Linked DNA regions of Xenopus tropicalis. The protein of the gene in region 1 interacts with the protein of each later gene in a biochemical or structural test. Links are inferred from orthologs where the notes say so. Each region holds a gene or a part of one and is shown in the gene's direction. Other genes may lie near its edges. The genes, in order: bad, bcl2 and bcl2l2.

Region 1 (3,757 bases):
TAGGAAAGAGTTTAAGTTTGTTTTTTCAGGACCAGTGTATATTAAACTACCACGTAGCACTTGTCACTGCCTGATGAACTGAAGAAGCATGACTGCTGAACTAACCTAACCAGTCTTCACTTTGCCCGTAAGCAATACACAAAACTGATGATAATTACAGTTGCAGATGTAAATATTGTTATACAAATTGCAGGACACAATTTAGTATTATTACCCTTTGTTTATATAGTGCCAAAACATTTACACTGCACAGTTATTGTGTCTAATTCACATAATTTCCTGATCCTTGATCCCAATTAATAAGAGAAGAAAGGTAAAAATATGCAAAGGCTGGTATTTTCTCCAGAAACGTGGCAACCCTAAATGGAGAATATCAGTGGCATATCTAGTGTGCACCAGTCCCACCACCACAAAAATATCTTCAGAGGCTGCTTCCTATATAGTTATAAAGTCTTCCCATCCCGCTTGCAAGTATCAGAGGGGCTGGGGAGGGAAGACTTTGCAACTATATAGGAAGCAGACTGCAGTCTGCTTTCTCTATATTTACACCACTGAGGTATATGTCAACGGCCATGCGCCCCAATTGTGCTCCTTGTAGTCTACTGTCTGTAGTCTGCCCTATTGCTGAGTATTTTGGGTGCATTTTCCATGGCAAGGGTTAGCTTTAAGCCAGGTAAACAGAGAGCAGGATAACTCCAAAATATTTAATGCATTAACAGGTCTCACACAAAGGGGCATAACTAAAAGGGAAGCTGGAGGCCATTTGGACACTGACTTAAAAGGCATGTGTACCTTGAATGTGAAACATTGAGGTTTGCTATGTTCCTTTTATTATGTTTCAATAAATATTGACTTTTTACACCTATATTCTAAATCCTGTGATTGCTGACATTACTTTTACTATACTTTGATCATACGGCTCTTGCACCCAGGTCCTGACTCTGTTAGTGGAGTGCACCATTATGTCCTCTGACTATATGATTATATACGAAAAATGTTAAACTCCCAAAGTACTTTTAGTTATGCCACTACAGACACACTAAATTCACTGCAGTGATGCACAGCACTTCATTTGCAGTTAAAAAGCTATTATTTTTTCATGGCTCAGTCAGATCAAAAATACTACACACTACTCCCAATTTCATCAGGAGGCAGAAGCCAGGTAAGCTGTCTGTGTGCTTTTCCAACGTGTAAGGAAATGAGAGGTTTATCTGTTGGATTTATTGCCCTTAATGTCTTGTATGTGTAAGGTTGCTGAGCACTGAAATGCTTTCAGTGCTCAGTGCTACCTTTCACAACAGTTTGCATAGAAACTACTTCACGTTTAGCCTTGCAGCATGGAGGGAATTCTCCAGCCAATCATTAGTACAGGACTCAGAGGGTCCCGCCCACACAGCCGAAAAACAGGAAGAGGAAGCAAAACAAGGGGACAGGGAGAAAAGCAGTACTGGAAGACAGAGGCTGCTGGAGAGATAATATCAGAATCCAGGGGGAAGCAGTGTGCAGCCGTCTGGGAGTTGCTTCCTTCAGTTTCCTGGACGTTTTGTGTGTGTGTACAAGGCATCAGCAGCCAGTGTGAGCCTGTGCAGCAGCCGGACAGCCATCTTGACAGGGAGAGAGAGCTACAGTGAGAATAGGAAGCAGGGTTCCTTCTGAACCGAGTTATTTAACCCCTACCATGCCAGTGACACTGGGATTTCTGCAACCAGCCATTTAGCTGTGAGTCTGTGTTAGGTCTATGGACTGGGGAGTCCCTATGTTGCTGGATGTTTCCACAGCACTCGGAAGTGTCTCCATGATTTACTATAGCTGCCGCCTGCTAGGGTTCCATTGAGCAAGTGGAGCAGCTGAGGCGACTTCAGGGATTAAACTGTGAGCTCATCAGCACTCCAGCAGAGTAAGTAGGGCTTCCAGCCCAGCCTTTCACACATCTGACTGCACCCAAGGGAAGCCCTTACTGCCGTCACAGTGGGACACAGGAGAGCTGCTACCTTGGGGCAAGTTGAGCAACTTACCTTAGGTGGCAGCACCCGACAAATTGCCAGGGGTGGTAAAAAGACTCCTGGTAACTTATAAAAATCGGAATTTTAGTGCAGAGATCACTATTATGCTCTCTGCACTAGTGATTCAGCCCCCATCAACTTTCTCCAACGCAAAAAAAAAACAAAACATGGGGGGGGCTGGCATCACCTTGGCCGCCCCAGGTTGGCACTGAGCCCGAGACGGCGCTGCATCTGCATCCTGTGTTTCCTCCACACTAACAGACAAAACTATTTTCCCTAGTATAGCTTTCAACACATAGCAGAATCTGTCTTTCCAGAGAGCCTGTTGTTTAGGCTGCTGGTGCCATTTGCAGCACCTTAAACTCTCGTTAAAGGGCCCCACCCCGTTAGTATGCACTATAGCCAGCTGACAAGGAGTTGGGAACTTAGGTGTGCGCACAAGGAAGTTGGTAGGTTCATATAAGTACTGTTCTCAAGGTGTTGTTATAACCTTGTCAGTAAGGTATTATGCTATCTGACCACTTCCGCCTATATCACTGTGTAACCAAAGTGTCAGTGTCTGGTTTGACCTTCTCAGTTCAGCCAATCATACCTGATGCCTGCTAGTATGGATGTCACCTTTAAATTCACCTTTAGTTTTGTGTAGACAGTGGTATTTTGAGGCAATTTACAACTAATATTCACAATTTTCAGTTCCTTTTTTAATCATTTAGCTTTTTGTTTGTTGGACTAAACACTAAAAAGGTGGCCATACATCCTTTAGACAGAATCGGAAGCTTATTTGCCCATGTATTAGCATGAACGACGGGCCAGATCTCGATCGGGCAGATTTGATTTTTCTGTTAGATCGGGGACCACATTGGCTTGTTAATGTGGTCCACGAACCTAAGGCGCCTATTCCCACTGTTTTAATTCCATTGTTTGGCTCTAGGGCCAAACAACTGAATTAGCCCGATATCACCCACCCCATAGGTGGGCATATCAGGAGAAGATCCACTCTCTTGGCAATCTCTCCCAAACACTGTAGCACAGTGCAACAAGTGAGTGTATTCACTAAACAAAAGGTGTGGTGATTGGTCATTGTACTTCCTACTTTAATATGAAGCTTTTTTTTATATAGGTATAATTTTATTAACAACAGACAGACATTTATGCCAAACATTTGCAGAATACATTAGTTTTAGTTGGTTGGCCAGTGATACAACCATACTATGTGCAAATAGAGATATGCATATCACTTTGGTTATAGTACATGTTATGTAGGTTCAGTCCAGTCCTGCTTCAATCCACGGGGTCCAAATCAGGTCAAATTTAGTCTGTGTTCCTCTCGCTTCTGAGGTAAGATTAATTAGTGGGATTGCCTGGTTTACCAGTTGTTTCCATGATTTTATGGTCAGTAGATGTGGTCCCATCCAGTGCATGGCAATATGAAGCTTTTTAATGCTTAATTTATTAAATATAATTTTGTATGCTAGAAAAAAAGAGCTACTTTCTGTATTCTTTTTAATCCAGATTCATCCTCCAAAAAAATCAATGTTCCTTCCCAAATATTTTACAATCATTGTCATCAGTCTGAAAAATGATTTCATTTTTTAGGTTCTTGTAGTCCTATATCTCATTACAGAAGTGAATAACGCAAGCATTCACAAAATCATAGGCTGTCCTTGAAGAAAAAGAAGCCAATAAACTATATATAGTTTCCCTAGGTAAATTAAACACCCTCATAAAAAGTTCCCACTGAATTTAAAAGCGCA
Region 2 (3,757 bases), on another chromosome or scaffold:
TGCAGCTACTGTGCCACCATGATGCTGTTATGTTTGTAACAAAAAAAACATTTACTACTATCAGCCTAACTATTTTAATAATATTTGTTGTGGCAGTTGCCAGTTACAAGTTAAAGTGGTCCTACTGTATATACATGATGAGCACAGAGCAAAATAACCCCTTCTAATCTATCACAAATTAGAAGTTATTTCTTTATTGCTGTTACTCTTTTACCTTTTTAACAGAATATGCTTACTGTGGTGGGCCATGATCCAATACAGAAATCTTTTGTTTTTAGATAGTAGCATACCTAAAAATGTATTCTATCCAACATCTTTAGGGAGTTAAAGGGTTTGTTAACTTTTAAATTGACTATAAATATGACATAGACAATGATATTCTGAGACAGTTTGCAGCTGGTTTTCATTTTTTATTTTTTGTGTTCAGCAGCTCTCCGGTTTGGAATTTCAGCAACTATCTGGTTGCCAGGTTCCTGTTTACCTTAGTAACCAGGCAGTTATTTAAAACAGGGACTGGAATATGGATAGGAAAGGGGCTGAATAGAACCATAAGGAATAAAAAGTAACATTTACAAGAACATTGTAGTCTCACAGAGCAATTGTATTTTTTGGCTGTGGGAATCAGTGACCCCTATTTGAAAGCTGGAAAGATGTAGATGAGAAATGCGAATATATCAAAAAGTATAAAAAATTAATAAGGAAGACCAATTCCAAAGTTGCTAGGAATAGGATATTCTATAACATACTAAAAGTTAACTGAGGTAAGCCTCCCCTTTAATATCACCCCTTGTTTTGGGATTAGAAATCATTTTGAAATGAAAGGCATCACTGTTGACTAATATTCAAACCTAAATGCTTAATAACAGTTTTAGCAGCAGGAAAAACCAGTAGAAACCCCCTATTGCACCCTATCCTTTTTTGAGTAATGAAACACTGTTTCACTTAAGGAAAATACAAATAAAAAGTTATCTTGCTGTGAAATTATGTTATTAATGAAAAGAAATCTCAAAAATACTAATACAATTGTGCTTGGGTACATTTGTTTGAATGTGAGCGCACAGTAGGGAGACGCCACCTGCAGAGGGCGCTCCGCCTCTACACTAAATGGCATGCGCACTGACGAACCAAAAGGAGGAAATCAGTCCGCCCAGAAGTAGAAGGGTTTCAGTGCTGTCCTAGCACAGGAGGACCCAGCACAGCGGACAAGCAGTGTCCCGCCTCCAGCCAGCCACGCTGTGTGCTACACGGAGGCAAGATGAAGAAGGCAACAAGGACAATAAAAAGAAACTAAATCACACACAAACACCACCTCTGCTATATTCTCCTGTGTTTAAGAATCTACAAGAATGTCTTTTACTGGCCAGAGTTTATTCCTGTGCTGGATTAAATGAGAGGGATTAGTACTTTTTTTTGCCGTTTCTGAGCAGCAGCATATGTGTGTGGGGTGTGAGAGGCTGAATAAATGGGAGTGAGCAGAACACTGTAGCAGGATCTCCAGTCAGAGGAGGTGGAAAAAAAACTGCATTTTGCTTTCACTGGCGCTTCTGGGTTGCCTGGGTGGCCTCTAAAGCATTTCCTACACAAGGATGCTTATGCGATGTTTGGACTGTTTCATTGATGCATTTAATTCCCCCTGAGGATTTAAGTCAATATAACCCCAGCATATCTGGAACTTGTTTCATGGATTCAGATGAACAGGGAAACCCAACAGCAGAGCAAGTGAGTATCTTGCTTACTTATTCTCTGCTTGTGTATACAGAAGTTATGTGTATATGTCTGTTTCAATATATACATCACATCAACATATACACACGGGGAAAAAGATGTATTATTTTCTATGCAGCATTTTATAATAAGATATTTAAACATGCACACACAAGTGGGTGTATATATATGTGTGCTTAGTGGTTCTGGAGTACAGTGGGTTCATGATGCTGTGAGTATCTAGTCGCATTAGTATATGTAAATGCACATATTATGTCTGTGCATCAGCTCACAGACTAGATTCATGCACATCACTAAACTTGTCACACGGAAACCCCACACACAGCTTTAAAGCTGATTTGTTTTTGTTTCAGGATCAAGTAGGGAATGTCCCTTGAAAAAGCGCAGCTAACAATGAAAGCACCTTTAGGAGGGAAATTTCAATAAAGCTACAGAGCTCCACAAGGAGGAAGAGGGGGAGGAATATTTACAGCAAAAGAATGAAAGAGCTGCCGCAGGACCTTTCGCTTACAGCAAATACATTATAAGAGCTAAAGGAGCTGTTTGAGTAGTTCTGGGCGAAGTATTTTGGTTTATAACCGAATATAATCTTTTCACCAATCCCCTGCCATTAGTCCGTGGACAAATATGGCTCATCCTAGGAGAGGAGGCTATGATCACCGGGACATAGTGGTAAAATATATCCATTATAAACTGTCTCAAAAGGGGTATGAATGGGAAGAGGGGCGGCAGCAGGTCTCTGCTGAGCACCCTCAAGCTTCTGCTGCTATTAGTAATTATTCTGATGATGGAGAAATGCCTGCTGCTTCCGCAGATTCACGTGGACCACCTCAATCTTCACTCGCATCTGCTGCTGCTTCCTCAGATGAGGAAACCCCAAGTAATGCTCCAGCCACCTTCGTGGGCAATACACCTGCTGTTCCCAGGGGGTCTGCACCTGCTGCTTCACCCTTAGCTGAATTGAACGTTGTACCAAGAAATCTTAATGTTAACCCAGATGCCAGTCGAGAAGCAGATGGTGATGATGATGATGATGAAGCAGCTATGCAGCCGGTCCCTCCAGCAGTGCTACAGACCTTAAGTCGAGCTGGAGATGAGTTCTCTCGCCTCTATCAGCAAGATTTTAGACAGATCTCAGGGCTCCTCCATTTAACCCCATCCACAGTTAGGGTGCGCTTTGCAACAGTAGTGGAGGAGCTCTTTCATGATGGGGTCAACTGGGGAAGGATTGTTGCTTTTTTCGAGTTTGGTGGGGTCATGTGCGTGGAAAGTGTTAATCGAGAAATGTCTCCTCTGGTGGATTCCATTGTGGGTTGGATGACAGAGTACCTAAACAGTCACTTGCAAAATTGGATCCAGGAACAGGGAGGATGGGTATGATTTTTACTGTACCTATTATATCTAAAAAGTATATACTCATGTATATATATATGTATCCCAATGTGTTTCTAATGTTTAAGATTCACCATGCTGTGCAGTCTTTTAATGTTTGAATGAAATACTTTGGGAAAAACCGGAGGAATTAAAATGACTGATATGGGAAGCGTAGCATATTTAAAGGGTATCTGTTAATGGTGAAGAAGCTAGAAAGTGACCTATGCTGTGATATTTAACGGCAAGTAAGGTCACATGACTGCACCGAGTGAACCAAAATGAACTTGAGGCATGGAGCCTCTATGAAACTCAGAAGAGTCAAATTAGACTTTAATAAGTTTAGCTCAGCTGTACAAGCCTGTAAGTGTCACTCTTGCTAAATGATATCAAAGACAGAGCTTCCTCTACTCAGTTTTTGTTCTAATGTAGCCTGGGACCAAACACTAGGTAAATTGGCAACTGACTGCTAGCCTGGAGTGATACATCACTGTTAAGCCTGTAAGAGGGAATGATAGTTAGTGTCTGGTTTCTTTTCTCTCCGAGCAAATCAAAGGTACTTAAGTCAATTCAGCTGTTGAGAAAAGAGTAAAAAATGAGGGGTGATTTGAAAAAATCTCTGACATAATACATCCATATCTGATATAACTACTTAATTGTA
Region 3 (2,920 bases), on another chromosome or scaffold:
ATATATATATATATATATATATATATATATATATATATATATATATATATAATATAGTACACAGGGAGGAGCACACCCTATACAAGTCCAAATACCCTTGGTGCAGGTCAAAAACAAAAATAAATATAATAAAAAGAGTGTCACACACACACAGGGACTTGAAGTGTTTTATTGAATAAATTCCAACTTTTCGAGCACAACCAGTGCTCTTCCTCAGGGACAAACCAACCAAACAGGGTTGGTTTGTCCCTGAGGAAGAGCACTGGTTGTGCTCGGAATGCTAAGAAACTTATAGGATGTGATATTCATATTCAATGCTGTGATCCATTTCAAGTCACAACTATGTTATCCAAATCAAATGTTTCTTAAACATTTTACCATAGTAATATGTCTGATATTTTGCCTTATATGAGCCCTATGTATTTGTTACAGAGCAAGGCTGGATGGCGCAATCTGAACTAGGATCCCGGGCTTTGGTAGAGGATTTTGTGCGATACAAGTTATGCCAGCGTAGTCTAGTTCCGGAGCCTGCAGGAGCAGCATCCTGTTCTTTGCATTCAGCCATGCGTGCTGCAGGGGATGAATTTGAAGAGAGATTCAGACAAGCATTCAGTGAGATCTCCACACAGATCCATGTGACCCCTGGCACAGCATATGCACGCTTTGCAGAAGTAGCAGGTAGCCTGTTCCAAGGTGGGGTGAATTGGGGTCGTATAGTTGCATTTTTTGTTTTTGGTGCCGCACTGTGTGCTGAGAGTGTCAACAAGGAGATGTCCCCTCTTCTGCCACGGATTCAGGACTGGATGGTGACATATCTGGAGACAAACCTGAGAGACTGGATTCAGAGCAATGGAGGCTGGGTAAATATTTCCCCATTATTCTTCTTACTGCCTTTGTTCCTCACTTGGAACCAAAGTAAACTCCTCTCCACATTGCAGTGCATGCTCTTACAATCCTGACTGCTGTGAATCCCTTACACAGTAGTGATTAATCTTTCTTTGTTTTGTCATCTCTCTCTCTCAGAATGGATTTCTAACTCTATATGGGGATGGTGCCATAGAAGAGGCCAGGAGGCAGCGTGAGGGGAATTGGGCATCACTGAAGACTGTCTTAACTGGAGCAGTAGCTCTGGGTGCTTTAATGACAGTAGGAGCCTTGTTTGCCAGCAAGTGATAGAGACTTAGAAAACAGACAAGTAATAGACACTAAGAATTACCTGATACAGTTTATTCATGTACAACCAGTCCGAAGGAGGTGTGTGTGCTCATGAGTGTTAATTTCAGTTCCAGCTCTCTCTCTCTCTGTTTGTCTTTATTTGTTAATCTTATTTTGTTATAGTCTGACTGGTGTATTTGTGAAGGTGTGTGCGTGCTTTGTATTTGCGAGCCTCAGTCTCTTATTAAGTGTGCAGCGTGCTTAATTTGTTTACGTTTCTGATTGCCTGTGCTGCTTTCCCTGTACAGCATTTGTATTTTGTCCAAACTTCTTTTCTCTTATGCCTGTTGTTCTATGCAGAATTTATATGTTCTCTTGTATGTGTAATATTTACTGTGTCTTTGTTACAGCGTGACTGTTTTTAGTTTTTGTTGCTCTGTTGTTGCTCTGGATATGGGAGCAGTAACTTTAAAATGTGTGTGCACATTGTGCTTGGATGCAATGATTCTGTGAATGATGCTGATATTTATCACTTTTTTCTGTTGGCTTGTGATGCTATATACAACTCCTGACGAAGTAGGAGTCGTCTTCTCTCTGGTAGCCCGACTAGGCAACTACTTATTTGCAGAGAGCAGAAGATTTGCGGTCTGTTTGATATGGCTCACTTGCCATTGGAGATGTGACTTTTTGCAAATCTATAATTTGCATGTGTGTTCCTCCAGCTCACTGGTAGATGTTTTCCAGAGAGCTGCAGCACACTTCTTTGAGTGATCTATCACTCTCCAAAACAAGGTTGATTACAAAATCAATTAGCAAAGCCTTGGTTTTTCCCCAGATAATGATCATCATTCCTCATATTTCTGGACTTGCTGCTGTCTCCAAAGTGTCATTAGCTTCGCAGGGATAGGAGCAGATACTGCTCTCCTTCCCAAACATCCTGATGTGTTGTCATTCATCTCTCAGCATAAATGCAGATGAAGGAGAGCCTGCTTCATACATGGACCGAGATGGCAGTTGAACCCACCCAAGTAGAATGAGCTCTGAGAGAACAGGGTGGGGATGCACAACTCAACACAGCCTCCTTCAGAAATAATTCAGGGGGTAGTGTTTTGTATTTCCTCTGTATAGAACACTAAAGGAAGGGTCTGGCAAAGTTCTCATTGTGCATTAAAGATTCCTGGCTGAGGAGACTTCTCTTCTCATTCATTTCACATAGATTATTCTCATTATCTATACATAGCAGAAACTTGCTATAAATTAGTGCTATGTTTTTGGTGAACAATTGTAGCTCTCTGTAACCCCCTTTATGGCTGATGGTCAGTTTGGCTTTCATGGTAATACATAGATGTTATTTGTGTAACCCCTCTTGGCTGCTGCACTTTTTAAATTTTCTAGCCACATTTACCCTGAAACTCTGTATTTCCACCCCATTAGAAACAGTGTCACCACAGTAATTAATATTACAGTGTACTGTATATAACCCACCCTAGGCTCTTTTTAAAAGTGCTCCACCCTGCTGCAAAAGTCCCCCACCACATTTAATGTTACCTGTGATCTGCCCCTTTGCCTTGTACCTGGGCTGAGAAAGTAGAGTAGAGTAGTGCAGTGGAGTTGGCTGCTGCCATGTCACATCCGGCGTGCTGGCTCCCAAGCTTTGATTTCCAACTAGAAGCATGTGCACTGTAAGCTTATTGGGTCCTGGTTTCCAGTTGGCAATTAACACAGGGCAGCCTGCGCACCACATATGACATGCAAGCCACTAAAC

The links.
Region 2: the proteins of bad (region 1) and bcl2 form a complex in vitro, tested with the Homo sapiens proteins (5 studies listed by BioGRID and IntAct, with this or other methods). The link is inferred for Xenopus tropicalis from reciprocal best matches to the Homo sapiens genes BAD and BCL2.
Region 3: the proteins of bad (region 1) and bcl2l2 interact in a biophysical measurement, tested with the Homo sapiens proteins (4 studies listed by BioGRID and IntAct, with this or other methods). The link is inferred for Xenopus tropicalis from reciprocal best matches to the Homo sapiens genes BAD and BCL2L2.

Annotation. Positions count from the first base shown.
Region 1 is NC_030680.2:35,248,619-35,252,375, forward strand, and holds the start of bad (bcl2-associated agonist of cell death), read left to right. Parts: upstream 1-1,392; 5' UTR 1,393-1,897; intron 1,898-3,757. UniProt on the Homo sapiens protein: Promotes cell death. Successfully competes for the binding to Bcl-X(L), Bcl-2 and Bcl-W, thereby affecting the level of heterodimerization of these proteins with BAX. Can reverse the death repressor activity of Bcl-X(L), but not that of Bcl-2.
Region 2 is NC_030682.2:85,817,418-85,821,174, reverse strand, and holds the start of bcl2 (apoptosis regulator Bcl-2), read left to right. Parts: upstream 1-1,146; 5' UTR 1,147-1,719; intron 1,720-2,078; 5' UTR 2,079-2,352; coding exon 2,353-3,099; intron 3,100-3,757. UniProt on the Homo sapiens protein: Suppresses apoptosis in a variety of cell systems including factor-dependent lymphohematopoietic and neural cells. Regulates cell death by controlling the mitochondrial membrane permeability. Appears to function in a feedback loop system with caspases.
Region 3 is NC_030677.2:139,702,338-139,705,257, forward strand, and holds the end of bcl2l2 (bcl-2-like protein 2), read left to right. Parts: intron 1-432; 5' UTR 433-443; coding exon 444-860; intron 861-1,023; coding exon 1,024-1,173; 3' UTR 1,174-2,343; downstream 2,344-2,920. UniProt on the Homo sapiens protein: Promotes cell survival. Blocks dexamethasone-induced apoptosis. Mediates survival of postmitotic Sertoli cells by suppressing death-promoting activity of BAX.